2 linked regions of the Neurospora crassa OR74A genome follow. The protein of the gene in region 2 interacts with the protein of the main gene of each other region in a pairwise test. Links are inferred from orthologs where the notes say so. Each region holds a gene or a part of one and is shown on either strand. Other genes may lie near its edges.

Region 1 (7,752 bases), on a different chromosome or scaffold from region 2:
TTAACCGCAAGCCAGAGAAGTCCAAAGTCCAAAACTATCGCTGATTAAGGGAAGACAGAGAGACGAGGGAACGATCTCTCCAAGAATATTTGAGGTCAAGAAATTGGGAGAATATTACCACATGGAGTTTGACACCAATAAGGCTCACTGTGCGTGACAAACGCATTCAGAGACTCAGAATCTCGGACGATGTGGCACATGGGGCATCGAAAAGTTTTTTTTGGTAACGATCTTGTCTGCGGGACCCCAGTTATGGCGGCAAGGCTTTGAAAGAGCGCTACTGCATCAAGCACACCGCAAACATCCAACCGTAGCTTTGGGTGACCCAATCCGACATATGTGTTTCTACAACGTTTCACTGCATCGTGAACGGTGAAACTACCTCAGTCGGCCAGAGGGATGAGGATTTAATCGTACCAGATCCAGACAATCCGTGGAGAATGATCATAACCAGCCGAATAATTCTTTCACCGCTCTTCATGCGTTAAGTTCGTTCGAGATCAACTAGGTTGCCTTTCCAGTCGCCAATGGGTATGATTCTCGACGTCGCCGAAGATAATTTCAAAGGATGATGATGAATGCTGTCACACCAGTTCTCCCGACCAGCTTATACGTAGATACAGTACAGTCCAGTACTGGTTCGTTTGTGAGTTCGAGACCTCGGTCATCACTTTGGTCAAACAGGGCTTTATTTTCGGGACTCGATGTTCAGGTAACATTAACCGTACTCCGTGCGTCTTTGGGTGATATACGGCATCGTAAGCAGGTGAAGCTGTCATTCATTCCACCTGGAGATTGAAGCACCTTCCTCTTTCACCCTGAGCCGCCTATGGTTCAATGATCTTCCCCGCTCGTGTAGAAAGCTTTTCAATGTATCACAAGGACACCTGTAGCCTCTGGTAGGTCTGCACTCATCATCCAACTCTGTAAACGGTGCCGAATGTGGGTTGAGGATGCAGGATTGCCTCCTCTGCAACTCGGATCCATTCCCAGAAGGAACTCATAGTCTCCTGACGGTGATATGTCGGCAATGAAGGTCGGACTTGGCGGGTTTACATGGTGACCGCCAAGGACGGCCGTCCCTATGATCTGGAATCCATTTTCCGTGGACAGTGCTCTACCTCCCCATCAACTTGCGGCTCTCGAATAGAACCGGGGTCTTATTACCACCTCAAGTAAGAAGACAAGAAGATATGGTGTGGGGAGGAACCAGTGCCACCAGAATAACGGAGCTTAAAGGTGTTGCCTGGTTTGTGTAATATGTTGATGTGGTAAGAAAGGACAAATCGCATATATCTTGTGTTTGCGAACCGATTGTGAGGACAAGAAATAAATACGCTGGTTTAGTAAGTCTACGTATCTGCAAATCAGACCATAACATCAAGTACATGGAGGCACCAGAACTGGTAAATCCGAAGGTACTTGGGCGAACGTGTAGGCACGAACCGAGAACATCTAGTCCGCATCAGTAGGATCCCTACGTACCGCCAAGCGTCAGTAAGTCAGCGCACCACTCGAGGTTTGGAATGAGGGGAAATCTTACCAATCAGTAACCAACTTCTCATCCAACCCATCCAGTTTCTCCATATCCTCCTCGGCCAACTCAAACCTACCCACATCCGCATTCTCTACCAACCTCTCCTTCTTGGTACTTTTCGGCAGCGTCACGAACCCATGCTGCACCGACCACCTAACCAACACCTGCGCGGGCGTGACCCCGTACTTCTTTGCCACCGCTGTCAAGACGGGATGCTTCATGCGCATCCCTCTCGCTAGCGGCGCGTACGCCTCGATGACAATACCATACTTCTCGCACGCGGCCCTGATCTCCGGCTGCGTGTTGAATGGATGGCATTCAATCTGGTTCACGAGAGGCTTGATTTTAAAAGGTGCTGACATGACCTCGTCGAGATGCTTGACGCCGTAGTTCGAGACGCCCGCCATCTTGACCTCGCCCGCGAGTACCGCATCTTCGACCGCTTTCCAGCTGGTCAACCGGGCTTCGCGGCCGCCAAGCGGGCTGTGCAGGAGGAACAGGTCAATGTAGCCAAGTCCAGAAGCCTTCACTGACTTGGAGATCGAAGCGCGAACAGCGTCGTAATTGGTGCTGTTGTCGCGCAGCTTGCTGGTGAAATGAACGTCTTTGCGGGTGAGGCCCGCGGTGTTTTCGGGGGAGGACAGGAAGGAGAGGATGGCTTGGCCGGCTTCGCGTTCGTTGTAGTACCATTGGGCGCTGTCGAAGCCGCGGTAGCCGGCACCGAGGGCCCAGCGGACCGCGCGTGTGGTCTCGGGGCCGGACATCATGTAGAGGCCGAGTTGGATTTGGGGAATGGAGAGGCCATTAGAGAGCTTGGTGGGTGTTAATGAGTTGCTAAGCGAACCTCATGGGGCTTGTGAGGTTGGAGATGAGGAGAGTTTCAGCATGTCGAATCGTACCTTGACTCTGCGGCTCAACATGTCTGTCACGGTTTCAGGCATTTTTGACTCTTTTGTTCGGCGAATGTGTTCAGAAAGTTGGGTAGGTGTTGTCTGCCCTGTGAGGTGAAAATGAGCATACTTATTGTCGGGTTGATGTTGGAGTTAATCATCAAAGTCCCCACTCTTCCGGCGGACGATGACAACATCGCCGGATATATTTCGGTTTTGTTAATTACCGTATCAGTTGACCATTGCGCGCAATTCCTTGCCTTGCCTTGTATTGTAGCGACCATTGTTACGTCAGAAAGCTGTCATGCAACTCCACAATGCGAAATAAACCCCGGTAGGGGCTAAGCGTGTTGTGATCGCTTACTGAACTGTACGCTAGGTATTAGACTGACAAAAAAAGGTTCGTTGTTGATATCACAACCATAGTATCTCAAGATCAAGTGATACCTGGAATATTCCAAGTCTTGTGAATTTCTTGTTCGCATGCTAGCATTAACACCTAGATATGTTCTCCAATCTGTAAAGCGTCCTTGTCGTATGGTCAGCAAGATGTATACAAGGAGGAGCCGGGATTGTGGAAGGCTACCGTACCTTAAGGCCGACATGCCCCTTTCCTCCCACTTGAATTCTGTCCTGTTGAAGCCACCCTTTGTGACCTAATCAATGACGGACGCGACCTGCCCCTTCGCATTTTGACCAATGTGCACCTGAAACACCCCGCGCTAGCCTCTTAGGAGATAAGGTCGGCAACATTCATGGGCATCTCATCAATCTGGGTCGAGTAGTACACTGTATCTCCCGTTAGCAAACGAAGGCGCCGAGGTTAGATTGCCCAAAACTTACACTCGATATCACGCAAGATGCGGACATCCTCGCTAGTAACGAAGTTGATGGCGACACCCTTGCGACCGAATCTACCTGAACGACCGATGCGATGAATGTAGTTTTCACGGTTGCTGGGAAGATCATAGTTGATAACCAAGCTGACCTGCTGAACATCGATACCGCGGGCCCACACATCGGTCGAGATCAGCACTCTGCTATTGCCCTGTCTGAAATCCTGCATAATGCTGTCTCTCTCCTTTTGGGGCATATCGCCGTGCATGCTGCTGACAGTGAAGTTGGCTTCGCGCATCTTATCGGTCAACCAGTCGACCTTCCGGCGGGTGTTGCAGAAAATAACGGCTTGTGTAATAGTCAGAGTGTCGTAGAGATCGCAAAGAGTGTCGAACTTCCAGTCCTCCTTCTCCACAGCAATAAAATACTGCTTCAAACCCTCGAGGGTCAACTCGTCACGCTTGACCAAGATACGAACAGGGTCGGTCATGAACTTGGTGGTCATGTCGAGCACATCATAAGGGAGGGTGGCAGAGACGACGACGACTTGTGTGGCAGGCGGAAGATAGCGGTACACATCGTAGATCTGCTCGCGGAAACCCTGGTTGAGGAGCTCATCGGCTTCATCGAGAACCAGCATCTTGATGTGTCTGGTGCGGAGATGACGGCGGCGAATCATGTCGGCAACACGACCAGGAGTGCCAGAGACAATGTGTTGACCATAGTCGAGCTTGCGAATATCCTCGCCAACGTTGGTGCCACCAATGCAAGCATGGCATTGGACGTTCATGTAATCTCCCAAAGCCATCACAACGCTCTGAATCTGGGTCGCAAGTTCGCGGGTCGGGGAAAGGACGAGGGCCTGGGTCTCGCGCACGGCGGTGTCGATGACCTGAAGCATAGAGATCGAGAAAGTGGCTGTTTTACCGGTACCGGACTGGGCCTGGGCGATGGTATCGCGACCCTTGCAGATCTGAACGATGGCGCGGGACTGGACAGCAGAGGGGGACTCATATCCGTAGGCGTAGATGCCGCGAAGGAGACTCTCTGTTTTGAGAACCAGTTAGTTTCAATCCAATTCACTAAGCCACAGCAACCATGAAATACATGCGATGCGACAAGACTTACCCTTCAAGGACATCGACTCGAAAGTCGGATGAACCGTTACCTCCTTGGAGGTGGAGAACTGAATCTTTTCATCGGCCTTGCGATCGATTCCGCCGTCAGCCATGGTGGGCGATTCTGTCGATGGATCGGGTATGTTTCTGAGGTGTGTCAGGGCCGAGGACGCGATGTTGTGGGTGCGGATGTTGACGATGCGGTTCGACCGGAGTGTTGACTTCGTTATTGGAAATTATTTGCACCCGAGACAAAAACAGTCCACTGTACCGAAAGCGCGACAGTGATTGACGATGGATGCGATGTCGACGTGTGGCGTGCACTGGAGTGGAGCTTTCCCGTTGTCAAAAAAAGTTGCCAAGATGACAAGCCTTCAGGTCGGCAGAATGTCGGCCAACCTTATTTAATGGAACGACGGGGGATCTGTGACAGGGCAGTTGGTGGATTTCGCTAAGGACTTGCCGGGGAGTTCTTTGCCTGCCGCGACGTGTTTCTCTGCTGTTCTTTCTGGACTTCGTACACGGAAGCAACTGGTGGCGCCGAAAAAGCACGTTTCAACAACCTCTCTTCTAGAAATCATCCTAGTTTTCCAATTCGCAATTCTGCACCCCGACACGACAAGTCCGGCTCTTCTACGCGCATTTTCACTTCTTCTTGAATAGGGGAATTCGCGGGTGTCACATTGGTCAACATGTTGATAGAAGAGCAGAGATACATTCACGAGGATCTCGAACGCCTCGAGCAGGGTATCGCGGACCGTTTGCGCGACGAGCCAAAACAGGCATGTTTCCTCCACGCGAAGTATCTCTCAAGACCTTCTGTGCTGACACATTCTTAGATTCATGAACGTCTTAATCGTGACCATGAGATATCCCAACTCCTCGATCAGATTCAACACCAGTCCCGTGAGCTTCTTCCCCTATACGAGGACAAGACTGGAGTGCGCTCCAAGGAAATCCAGCAGATTGGCAGTGGTGACCCCTTCGAGGAATTCTACAAACAAGTAGCCACTATCAAGGAACACCACTCGCGGTACCCAAATGAGCAAGCCGAGAACTCGGAAAACTGGTACCGGCCGCGGAAGCATGGCGACGATCAGCCATTTTTGGTGGAAAGCATGTTCTCGGGCGAAGAGGCATACGGCCGTTTCTTCGATTTGCACGCCAGCCACGAATCCTACCTCAACCTTCCCAATGTGAAGCGACTCCCGTATATGCAGTATCTTGAAGTTTTTGACAACTTCCAACCCGGTTATGGTGGAGTCAAGCGGGCCGACAAGTTGACCGATCAATATTTCAAGTACCTCGGCGAGTTGATGGAGTATCTGGAATCCTTCATTCGACGTACGCGACCACTCGAAAATCTCGAAAAGGTGTTTGGTGGCTGGGACAAGGAATTCGATTCGGCTTGGGAAAAGGACGAAATTGAAGGCTGGCGCAAGGAGAAACTGGCGGCCAACGGCTCTGCGACAGACCGCACTCTGAGCAGCGCTGACGCGGTTTGGTGCGAGGCATGCGAGAAGGAGTTCAAGAACGAAAACGTTTACAAGAACCATCTTACCGGCAGGAAGCACATCAAGGCCGCTGAGGTGTTGGCGGCGATTCACGGAGAGTCGGCCAACGGTACATCAAACGGCACGGTTGCCCCGCTAGCGCATCGCCTCAAGGAACGGGCGGTCGCTGAGAGGGAGTACCGCATCAAGAAGCTCGCCAGCGCTATGAAGACGGAGCGGGACGACACAAGAGTGAACGTTGAACGTAGGCAAGGCATGACGGAGCGTGAGCGGCAACAAGAGTTGGAGAATCTCTACAACACCACGTTCAGAAGGCAGGCTAAGGAGGCTGAGGAAGACGAGGATGATGGCGGAGATGATAAGATTTACAATCCGCTCAAGCTACCGCTGGCTTGGGACGGAAAGCCGATTCCCTTCTGGCTCTACAGGTTGCATGGTCTGGGTCAAGAGTTTCCCTGCGAGATCTGTGGCAACTTTGTCTACCGCGGCCGGCGTGCTTTTGACAAGCACTTCAACGAAACAAATCACATCACCAACCTGAAGCGTCTGGGTATCACAAACACACATCTGTTCCGAGACATCACGTCTATAGAGGAGGCGGTGAGGCTTTGGAACAAGATCCAAGGTGACTCGAGAAAGACCAACGTGGATGAGGGCTCGATCGTGCAGATGGAGGACGCTGAGGGTAATGTCATGCCTGAGAAGGTATATCTTGATCTGCAGAAGCAGGGTCTGCTTTGAGAGGTTTTAAGAGGATGGATGAGCAAGGTCAAAACACCCCTCTGAGACATTAACATAATACCCCAAAGTCCTCCCCGTCCAAAACAGAACTATGAATTCGGACTACTACATAAACCAATACATAGACAGCAAGATTGTTCGACATTTCATCCTGTAGACTCAACAGAGCAGCCAAGGGCTTAGAAAGCTTGGGCCCACCAAAGTGGGGTATGGCGAAGTCAAGGGCGTGAAATAATTGGGCAGCCATTCCGGGTACTGCGGCCATGAATAAACAACATCTTGTAAACAAAGACGGCAACTTCCACTTCTTCACTGTCACCAATTTTCATCACGTATAAACTTGGTTACCCTTTGCCTTTTGCACCTCGAAAATACCACAATCGCCCAATGGGTGCAATCAACGAATGTTCGGTACTTCTTGGCGACTGTCCTGACTGACGCGACACTCGGTTCACATCTAATTCATTATCAAGCACATCGTCCACCGGGAAATTCCCAAAAGAAACAAGGTCTTGACTGCAAATGACAACAAGCCAAACGTCACGACAACCTCACCTATAGAAAACATTTCCAATTCCCTCCCAATAGGGGAAAACAGAAACGATGTCTACCACCACCACCCAAATCCAACCCAAACCCATCCCCGCCCTCTACACAGTCTACATCCTCCGCTCCCAGCCCCGACACGCTTCCCTCTACATCGGCTCCACGCCTCACCCACCCCGGCGCCTCTCACAACACAACGGGCTCGCCAAGGGTGGCGCCTATCGCACTTCGAAAATATCTCTTCGGCCATGGAACATGGTCTGTCTGGTCTCCGGTTTTCCGAGCATGATTGCCGCGCTGAAATTTGAATGGGCGCTGAATAACCCACACAAGTCGCTGCATATCCCTGCCGAAAAAAGGGCCGAGGCAGTGAAGGGACTGGGGAGGAGGAAGACGGGACACCTGAAAAGGCCGAGGAAGAGTTTGGTGGGGGTGATGGAGGCTTTGAGGATGTTGGTGGGGGTGAGAAGCTTTGGGAGGTGGCCTTTGAGGGTGCATTTCTTTGAGGAGGATGTTTGGAGGGTCTGGGAGAGAGGTGGTTGGAAGGCTAAGAGTGGCGGTGGAGGGGT
Region 2 (7,797 bases):
ACATAGCCAGCGACGCCACCTCCAATGATGACGAGATCCTTCTCCTCTACGGGCACATCAACAGTCAGCCGACCAGAATCCTTTGACGAGAACCAGCTCTTGATGTTGGCAAACAGACCAGACTCGGTCGCATAGGTCCTCCTCAACCTGGGAGAAACGACGACAGGGAGCCTGTATGTGGTCGTCAGGTCAGCCTCAGTACGCGCATGAGAAAACAGTGTGTCGGGCATCCGCCGGCAACCGGGACAGTGAGCTTACCCCGAGGGCTTGAAGGCGGACCGGACGGCAGCACGGCCTATTAATCTTTGGGACAGCATGGTGAAAGTATGTGCTGAATGGAAAAACCAGAAATGGAAACAGGGAAAATTCGAAGGAACGAGCGCACTGCAGAGAGATGCCCGGGGAAGCAGGGAATGCGATTCGATGGTGAGACGTCGAAAGTGTGTACTGAACTGCAAAACGCCGCGGGAGAGACAATTGTTGGGATTCGAGGCGGAAGCTATTCACGGCAAGCGAAAAATGTCCAGTCCCACTTGTTCGGGTTGCCAGCCCGTCAGAGGCTCACATCGCTCAAAGGGCACCCGCTTTCCACCGTGCCCGTCCCCAAGCTGGCCCGCTCGAGACAGCGCAGAGCGGAGTAGGTAGAGGTAGGTACGAACGGAGCGGAGTAGGAACACCACTACCTAGGTAGGTAGTAGGTACCTCTAATCTCGCGTACGCTACACTAAATAGGTAGGTAGGTACTGCCTGATCGTGTTAGTAGTGTAGAGGTAGTGTGCTACAGGAAGTAAAAGTACTATGATGCCAGTGTTAGGCGGGACGGGCAGCGCGCTCTTCGCCGTCTTACTTTACTGTCGCTGCTGCCCTGACTGCTTCGTCGAAGAAACCCGTCCCCAAATACGTACGGTACTAGGTACGCTCCATTGCGTCCTGTGATTGGTCAAGACGAACTTGGCGTGCAGCAGCTGACTCCAAAATTTTGACATCTCTGCACTCCCGCTATGTATTGTAGCCATTTTTCTGACAGCTTAGGTTGTGTTTGACATTCATCTTGCTCCTTGGCGCGATCCCCTCTTTGCTCCCCTCTTTACTCCGCCCGTCAACGCCAAATAACCCCAGCTTGCCCAGCTGCCGAATTGGAGAAGCATAACCTGTCCCTAACCCGTCTTAGAGGTTAGTTGTTTGTCGAACGACATGACACATGGCAGGCAATTCATCTCAAACCATCTGCCTCCTCTTCATGTCCACAATCAAGAGTCCCGCCCGACCCTCATGAAACCCTGTCCCTTCGTTGCAAGACGAAATGACATCATTGAGTGCTATTCACAGACCACTATATTTCCGGGCTCCCGCACACTCGAGTCGGTTGCTCCCTGGATCCCTAGTAGCAAATCGCCCTTCCTGACAACAAGTTCCCCAACTTAAAGCTACCCCCAACTTTTCCAGTCCCGCCGTCAACGCTAATATCTACAAAGTAGGTAACTACATTCGAGCGAGAATGCTTGGGTTAGTTCCATGAACTTGTCATGATATTGGTCAATGGCCTTTTGTATAGACCCCGGCACACTTGTATCCCTGATCATTATGTTGCTATTCCCGAAGATATCCGATCCATATACAGGTATCCAACAAAGCAAAATTATTCCACCAAGCCTTCGGCGGCGAGCAGCGCATGCTCCAAGGCCGCCATGGCCGTCTTGCAACCCTCCTTGACGAGCTTGGTGTTGGCCGCCCCTCCCGCGAGATCCGACTTCCGGACCACCTTCTTGATGAACCATTGCAGGCCTCTGGCAAGCTCGGGGACCCCTTCCACAGCCACAAACACCGAAGTAATCGTCTCATCCCGATCCTTGTCGCCGCCTTTTCCGGCTTCAAGAAGCACAGTAATCAGCAGGATCTCCACTAGCGCCCGCGTCTTGGTTTGTAGATAAGGCAAATTGAGGCATTTCAGAATTGCCAATCCTAGCGATCCACCTGCCACCATGGCCCCAAACAGTTTTGCAATGTTGACAAGCCGCCGCATGTCCATCGCATCTACATCCTCCTCATCCTCCGCGTCATCGCCAAAAACTGACTCTCCGAGACGCCTGAATAGCTTCCAGAGCGCGTCTTGGAACGACCACCGGATTTTGCGATCCCCGCAAAGCTTCTTGGCCACCAAGGTGTAGTATGGGTTGTAGACCTGCTCTGCGCCGGCACACTGGATGACCACGTATGGAATCTCTCTCTGTCGCTCCTTGTTCAGGCGCAACTTGAGGATGCGGTAGTAGGCATCTTCGTAGTCCGTGGCGGACATTATCGACACAAAGATGGACCGGCGCACGTCCGTGTTCATCTGGTTTTCTCTGGCAAGTTCTCCGAGGTCAGGCATGTCCTCGACATCCTCCAAGACAAAGCTTTCGTCGTCCGAGTCAACGCTATCCTGTATGACACCGTCCTGGGTCAATGGCTTCTTGTCACTGTCCTTATCTCTGCCTGCCCAGCTAGCGCCTACAAGCCACCATTTGCCCTTCTTGTCGGCATCGCGTATATCGGCAAGGGTCATTCGCAAGGGCTCGGCCGTCTTGATGGTTTTCAAGGTGCCCAAAAGCTTCTTCATCTTGGTTGTGTGCTCCGTGAGAACGGCGGAAGCGCCTAAACCCGTCTTCATCTTGTTGTTTTTCAGGTCGTTGATGGTCTCAATCATGAATTTAGTTCTGACGCTGAGGTTCTTCTCTCCGATCTTGGCAACAGCCGGGCGGATAAGGGTAACAATGTCCTTGACAGACATGGGGTCATCTTGTCGGAGGGCTGGGCCAGCAATGCGCACAATTCTGAGCAAAAGTTCCGCGTTCAGCTCCGAAAGATCACCCAAAAGGATTCGAATGAAGTCGAAGAGCAAGTTAGGGCCCACGAGTTGAAAGTTATAGAGTTCGGATAGGAAAGTGATGAGGTTGGATGTCTGTTTCGGCACGTCTGGCCGCTCCTTTGCAGCCTCTTTGGCCTCTTCATAATGCCTATCAAATCGCTCGATCACTTCTTGAATTAACTGTGCGCCAAAGTCCATGCCAATCACCTTGAAGATACCCGTAGCGAAACCCGCGGTAAGCACGAGCAACGTATCAGGCAGCGTCGTTGGCTCGCACACCTGAATGAGTAGGAGATCGACAATGTTCGACGTAAGATGTTGTCGCGGGTTGTCGCGGTAAAGCTTTTCAAAGTCCATAATGATGGATAAAAGATTAGACTCTGTCATCCTGTTGATGAGACCTTGTGTTTGACGGCGAATGTGGGCCACCAACTCCGCTTCTGAGCCCGCCTCCTGTCGCTTCGATGGTGGCACGTATTTCACTACAGTCCGCCCAGTTGTAGGCGCAACATATGGGTTTTCGCGGACCCGTTCTGGCGGCTTTTGTAGCGTTTCTTCGTCGTTGTCGGATTCGTCGTCGTCGCCGTCGTCCTCGTCGTCGTCCTCGTCGTCGTCCTCGTCAAATCCTCCAAAATCCCCCTCATCCTCGCCCAAGATGCTGTCTTCTTCTCCATCTTCATCAGAATCGCCTTCGACCATGTCTTCGTCTTGGTCAACGTCGTTGTCTTCGTCCGAGTTCAATCCCTCTAAGAGATCGTCCAAGCCATCGTCCTCTTCGTCCAGTTCGGAGACTTCATTTTCTTCCTCGTCTAGTTCGAATTCCTTCGTCTTCTTGGCCTCTTCCGCTTTCCTCCTTTTCGCCGCAAGCCACTCATCCGCTTCGGACTTCCGCTTCCTTTTCTCGGCTGTTTCGTCGTCTACGCCAGGAAGGCCTTCTAGTAGATCAAGAAGACCATCCTCCTGGAAGGACTTGGGAAGCGATTTGCGTCCCTTGATGCCGAGCTTCTTTTCGAGGTCTGCGATCTCCTTGTCGTCTTGCGCCAATCGTTCCATGACAGTTTTTGAGATTTTGGGCTGCGACTTCGATATGGTTTGTGTTGGGACATCACTTTCCTCTTCATCGTCCACGTCTTCGCCGTCTTTGTCGTCTTCTTCGTCGAGGTCTAGCTCATCGTCCTCGTCCTCGTCAAGATCGATATCGCCCTCGTCATCGAAATCCTCATCATCGTCCTCTTCGAGGGCAACATCTTCATCCTCATCCTCCAATGATCGTTTCTTCCCGTTCTTCAAGATGGGCTTGGGTTCCTTTGCTTCCTTTGACGATGCGGCATCGACCTTCTTCTGTGGTTTTGGGGCTGTAGCGCGCTCGGTATGGTAACTTCTTGTGGACGAGGTGCGGTGAATCCTTTTCTGTGTTCTCTCTGCTTTACGGCGATCCTTTCTAGACTGAAATTGATTCTTGCGACCTCCGTGAGATTGTCCTGCAAGAGTTAGGATTTCGTCGGAGAACCCTGATTGCCAGGCAGGAATGACAATGGCTGTATGGGCGCATGAACGGAGGCACGCTCACCTTCTACGCCGAGCTCCTTCAGGAGGTTGTCAGGCAATTTTGGAGCCTTTATCCTCATGGAGGGTGCCATGTTGTAATATGCGCGTGCGGAGGTGTAGATGTGATTGATTGGCACGACCTCCAAACTTTGCAAGGCTCTCTCGTCCGTCGCTGCATGGAAGAGCGCGGGATCGGGACCTTGCTATCGTTATCAGATAGTTTTTTTGGTTATCGGTCGGTGCAGGGTTCCAGGCATGTCGACTGCGGGGCCAAGAGCGCCAAGAGATGAAGCGGGTCCTCCGCTGCTTGGGACCCCACCCGGCTGGTTTTACGCTGGGGAAGCTCACTCCTACCAGACAGACGGGAGCTGCCCGGCCAACAGCAGTGGGGAAAGCTGCCACTCTCGTTGACTTTCATCAATCATTCTAGGTTGCCTTCACATTCACTCCTCAGCCGAATTGTTGTCTTGCCTTTTGCAAACGAGCATAAGAAGAAGACGAAAAACAACTGGATATCATGGGTCATTTAACTCACGATGAGGTAATGTTATATGTGACTGGCTGCTGTGATCCCGTCCTGAGGAGACCATGCTAATCTGACTTCAACCGACTATGGTATATAGTTCTTCTCCAAGCTCACCAATCTGTTCGAGTATAGGAAGAACCAAGATCACGGAACCATCAACCTAGTACAAAAGAGGCGTACGTGTACCTACACCAACCCAGCGCAGACAGGAAACTTCACACTCGGCTTTGCTATCGTCACGACAATCCTCCCAATTTCCGCTGTTTTCCAAGCTTAAACTCCATCTCCATCCACCCACGATGAGCTAAGTAGAGTGAAGCTCCGTCACCAAAGCTAACCCTCCCACAGTATCCTACAGCACCCCTTCCCAATCCACGGATACCGACCCTCTCACTGACCTCAACCCTGCCACCCCGCTCCCGGTTCTCATCCGCGCCACCAACGCCAAGGGCAAGGACAAGAGGACAGAAAAGGTCAAGCTGTCCACCATTGTCGAGCCAGCCGACCTGGAAACCTTCTACGGGAGGTACGCCGATGTTTGCAAGAAGGGCATGGGGGCATTGAAGCCGAGAGACAGGACCAAGAGGAAAAAGCAGTCGAGGAAGAAGAAGACAGGTCCTGCAGCCGCTGGAGGTCCTGGTGTTGGTGCTGGTGGGACTTCTATGATGGCTATTCCCTGATTGGACTCGAAACAAGCGTTGCAAATTACACCATTGCTGTTTCTGTCTTCTTGTGTGTACATGACCTAACGGAAGGAGGGATCTGTATGAGGGTACCGTATTAAATTTTGTAATATTCCCAAGCTTTGGTGGAATACCCTGGTTCAAGTCAGTGGGTACGCATGGTAAGGAAAGCGTTGGTGAGTAGTACCGCATCATAGCCTTCAATCTGCCACTCTCGGTTACCCTACCTCTCGACTCACCTGCTCGTAGTTGGTATTACCCTTCAAGACGACTAGCGAGAAAGGAAGGGAAGAAAAAAAAGGTGTTGGGAGAGGGGGGGAAGGGGGAATATGAAAAGCTCAGCTGCCTATCTAGCGTGCAGCGCACATCTACTATCTACGTGAGCTACTGGAGTTAATGAAAGGTGCGAACTAAAGGGATCATATGCCCGTTCTGGAGAATGTTCAGTCCTGCCGCAGGAAGTATGCGGCCCTTCGTGGAAATGGAGATGGAAGGGAAAGAGAGGAACATGAAATGAATGAGTGACGGAAGAAGCGTGAGAGAACGACTGCTGTGCCTCAACAGAGAAGCTGTTGAACGAAGGGGAGAGTAAGAGCGAGCCGAATTGATAACGTTCATATGCTTGTTCCAAATCTGCTGGCTGGCCTTCACGATCCTGTCTTGGGTGTGAACTTGATCACCGGGAGAGCGTGTATCTCCAGGTGACTCGATCTAAACGGTCCTATTAGCAAAGTTAACATTTCTCATTTGGTAAAATAACAAGACTGCCCGGGTGGAGCAGCAGCTACCGTACCCTGACGTCAAGCGTAGATATATTTGAGCCGCACTTATGAGCATCAGCTGAAGGGCAACCGGCTCACCCGTTCTCCACTCGATTCACCATTATGAAACACCACGAACACGTCACATCACGTTGGCTTCACCTTGATTGGCTTTGATTCAGGTTACCAAGAGTCGCAGTTCCAATGTTCGACCTTAATCCTAAGGTCAACCGAGATAATTGCATGTTCTCTTCAAGAGTACAGTCTAAAGGTGGGGGGATGTAGGTGAAACAAGATCAACTGTCCATTTTGAGGGTCCGAACCGTAAACAACTTGCTGAAAGAAAGGCCGAAGAGCCAAATGTCAGCCGCAAAAAGAGCAACAAGTTTCAGTGGGATTTACTTGTCCCATGTGCTAGAACTGGGCAAGGTAAAGCATGTCGCAAATTCAACTTCCTCAATCTCCTTCCTCCGACACCATCCTTCACATGCTTGTCATGCGGCCATTCAGACTACTGCCCCATCCCAGGCCAATGCTCATGGCCACCAAATCCCTGACCATAGCCACCTGTCCGTAGACAAGTAGTGCAATTGGAAAGATTGAACCGAGCGCCACATCGAAGACAGGCTTAATCCAGTCATATAATACAACCTCCAAATGGAAAATCCCAAACTATCATAGGAAATCTGTTGCTTCAACCAGTATGACTGACGCGATGGTCGGTAATCAGTTTACATGATCTGATCTTGTGTCAGGCCACCATGGGGGTCGGTATCCATGCTGTCGCCGCCAGCACCAGGGTTAAGGTACTTGACGAAACTCAGACCGAGAGGACGTCCACCATACTGGTAACCCTGGAACTTTTGGATCGCGGTGTCGGCGGTGTCGGCATTGTCGAAGCGAACGACGCCAGAGCCGCGGGAGCGACCGCTGGGCTCATACTGAATCTCAGCCTGCTCTACCTTACCAATAGTAGAGAAGAGCTCGACGAGATCCTCATTGCTGGTCGACCAAGGGAGCTGATGAAGAAGAGGAAAGTCAGAGAAGTCGAATACTCGGGGGTACAAGATGAAGTTTGACTTACGTTCCGGACGTAAATGATCTCAGACCGTTCAGTACCAGAAGTAGCGAAGTCAGTGAACGGGTTGGGCTGAGCGGCCGGCTGGTTGGCATCGAAGCTAGGGGGACCACCGGGAGCTCCTCCGAAGCCGCCACGACCGCCGAAGCCACCTCCAAAGCCACCGCGGCCACCACCGAAGCCGCCGCGACCGAAACCGCCGAAGGCACCACGGCCGCCGCCGAAGCCGCCACGACCGCCGAAACCACCAGGACCCATATTCGCACCGGCAAAGCGATCCTCGCGAACCTCCAGCATACGGCCCTGCCAATCGTAACCATTGAACTGCTGGATGGCGTTGCGAGCATCATCTG

The links. The genes of interacting proteins can lie anywhere in the genome.
Region 1: the proteins of NCU02406 (region 2) and NCU01234 interact in binary tests that used the Saccharomyces cerevisiae proteins (3 or more experiments, as listed by UniProt). The link is inferred for Neurospora crassa OR74A from reciprocal best matches to the Saccharomyces cerevisiae genes SGD1 and FAL1.

Annotation. Positions count from the first base shown.
Region 1 is NC_026505.1:3,305,405-3,313,156, forward strand, and holds NCU01234 (eukaryotic initiation factor 4A-12), read right to left. Parts: upstream 4,768-7,752; 5' UTR 4,496-4,767; coding exon 4,393-4,495; intron 4,312-4,392; coding exon 3,271-4,311; intron 3,217-3,270; coding exon 3,158-3,216; 3' UTR 3,019-3,157; intron 2,957-3,018; 3' UTR 2,663-2,956; downstream 1-2,662. Other genes in the region: NCU01233 (aldose reductase), read right to left, coding at 1,456-1,477, 1,544-2,349, 2,437-2,478; NCU01235 (splicing factor 3a subunit 3), read left to right, coding at 5,075-5,164, 5,222-6,637; NCU01236 (GIY-YIG catalytic domain-containing protein), read left to right, coding at 7,241-7,752. UniProt on the Saccharomyces cerevisiae protein: ATP-dependent RNA helicase involved in 40S ribosomal subunit biogenesis. Required for the processing and cleavage of 35S pre-rRNA at sites A0, A1, and A2, leading to mature 18S rRNA.
Region 2 is NC_026507.1:2,608,996-2,616,792, forward strand, and holds NCU02406 (nuclear protein), read right to left. Parts: upstream 4,562-7,797; 5' UTR 4,489-4,561; coding exon 4,419-4,488; intron 4,330-4,418; coding exon 1,640-4,329; 3' UTR 1,372-1,639; downstream 1-1,371. Other genes in the region: NCU02407 (dihydrolipoyl dehydrogenase), read right to left, coding at 1-46, 119-171, 259-317; NCU02405 (hypothetical protein), read left to right, coding at 4,914-4,937, 5,020-5,098, 5,271-5,602; NCU02404 (RNP domain-containing protein), read right to left, coding at 7,098-7,385, 7,451-7,797. UniProt on the Saccharomyces cerevisiae protein: Involved in osmoregulatory glycerol response, probably through its interaction with PLC1 which regulates the expression of GDP1.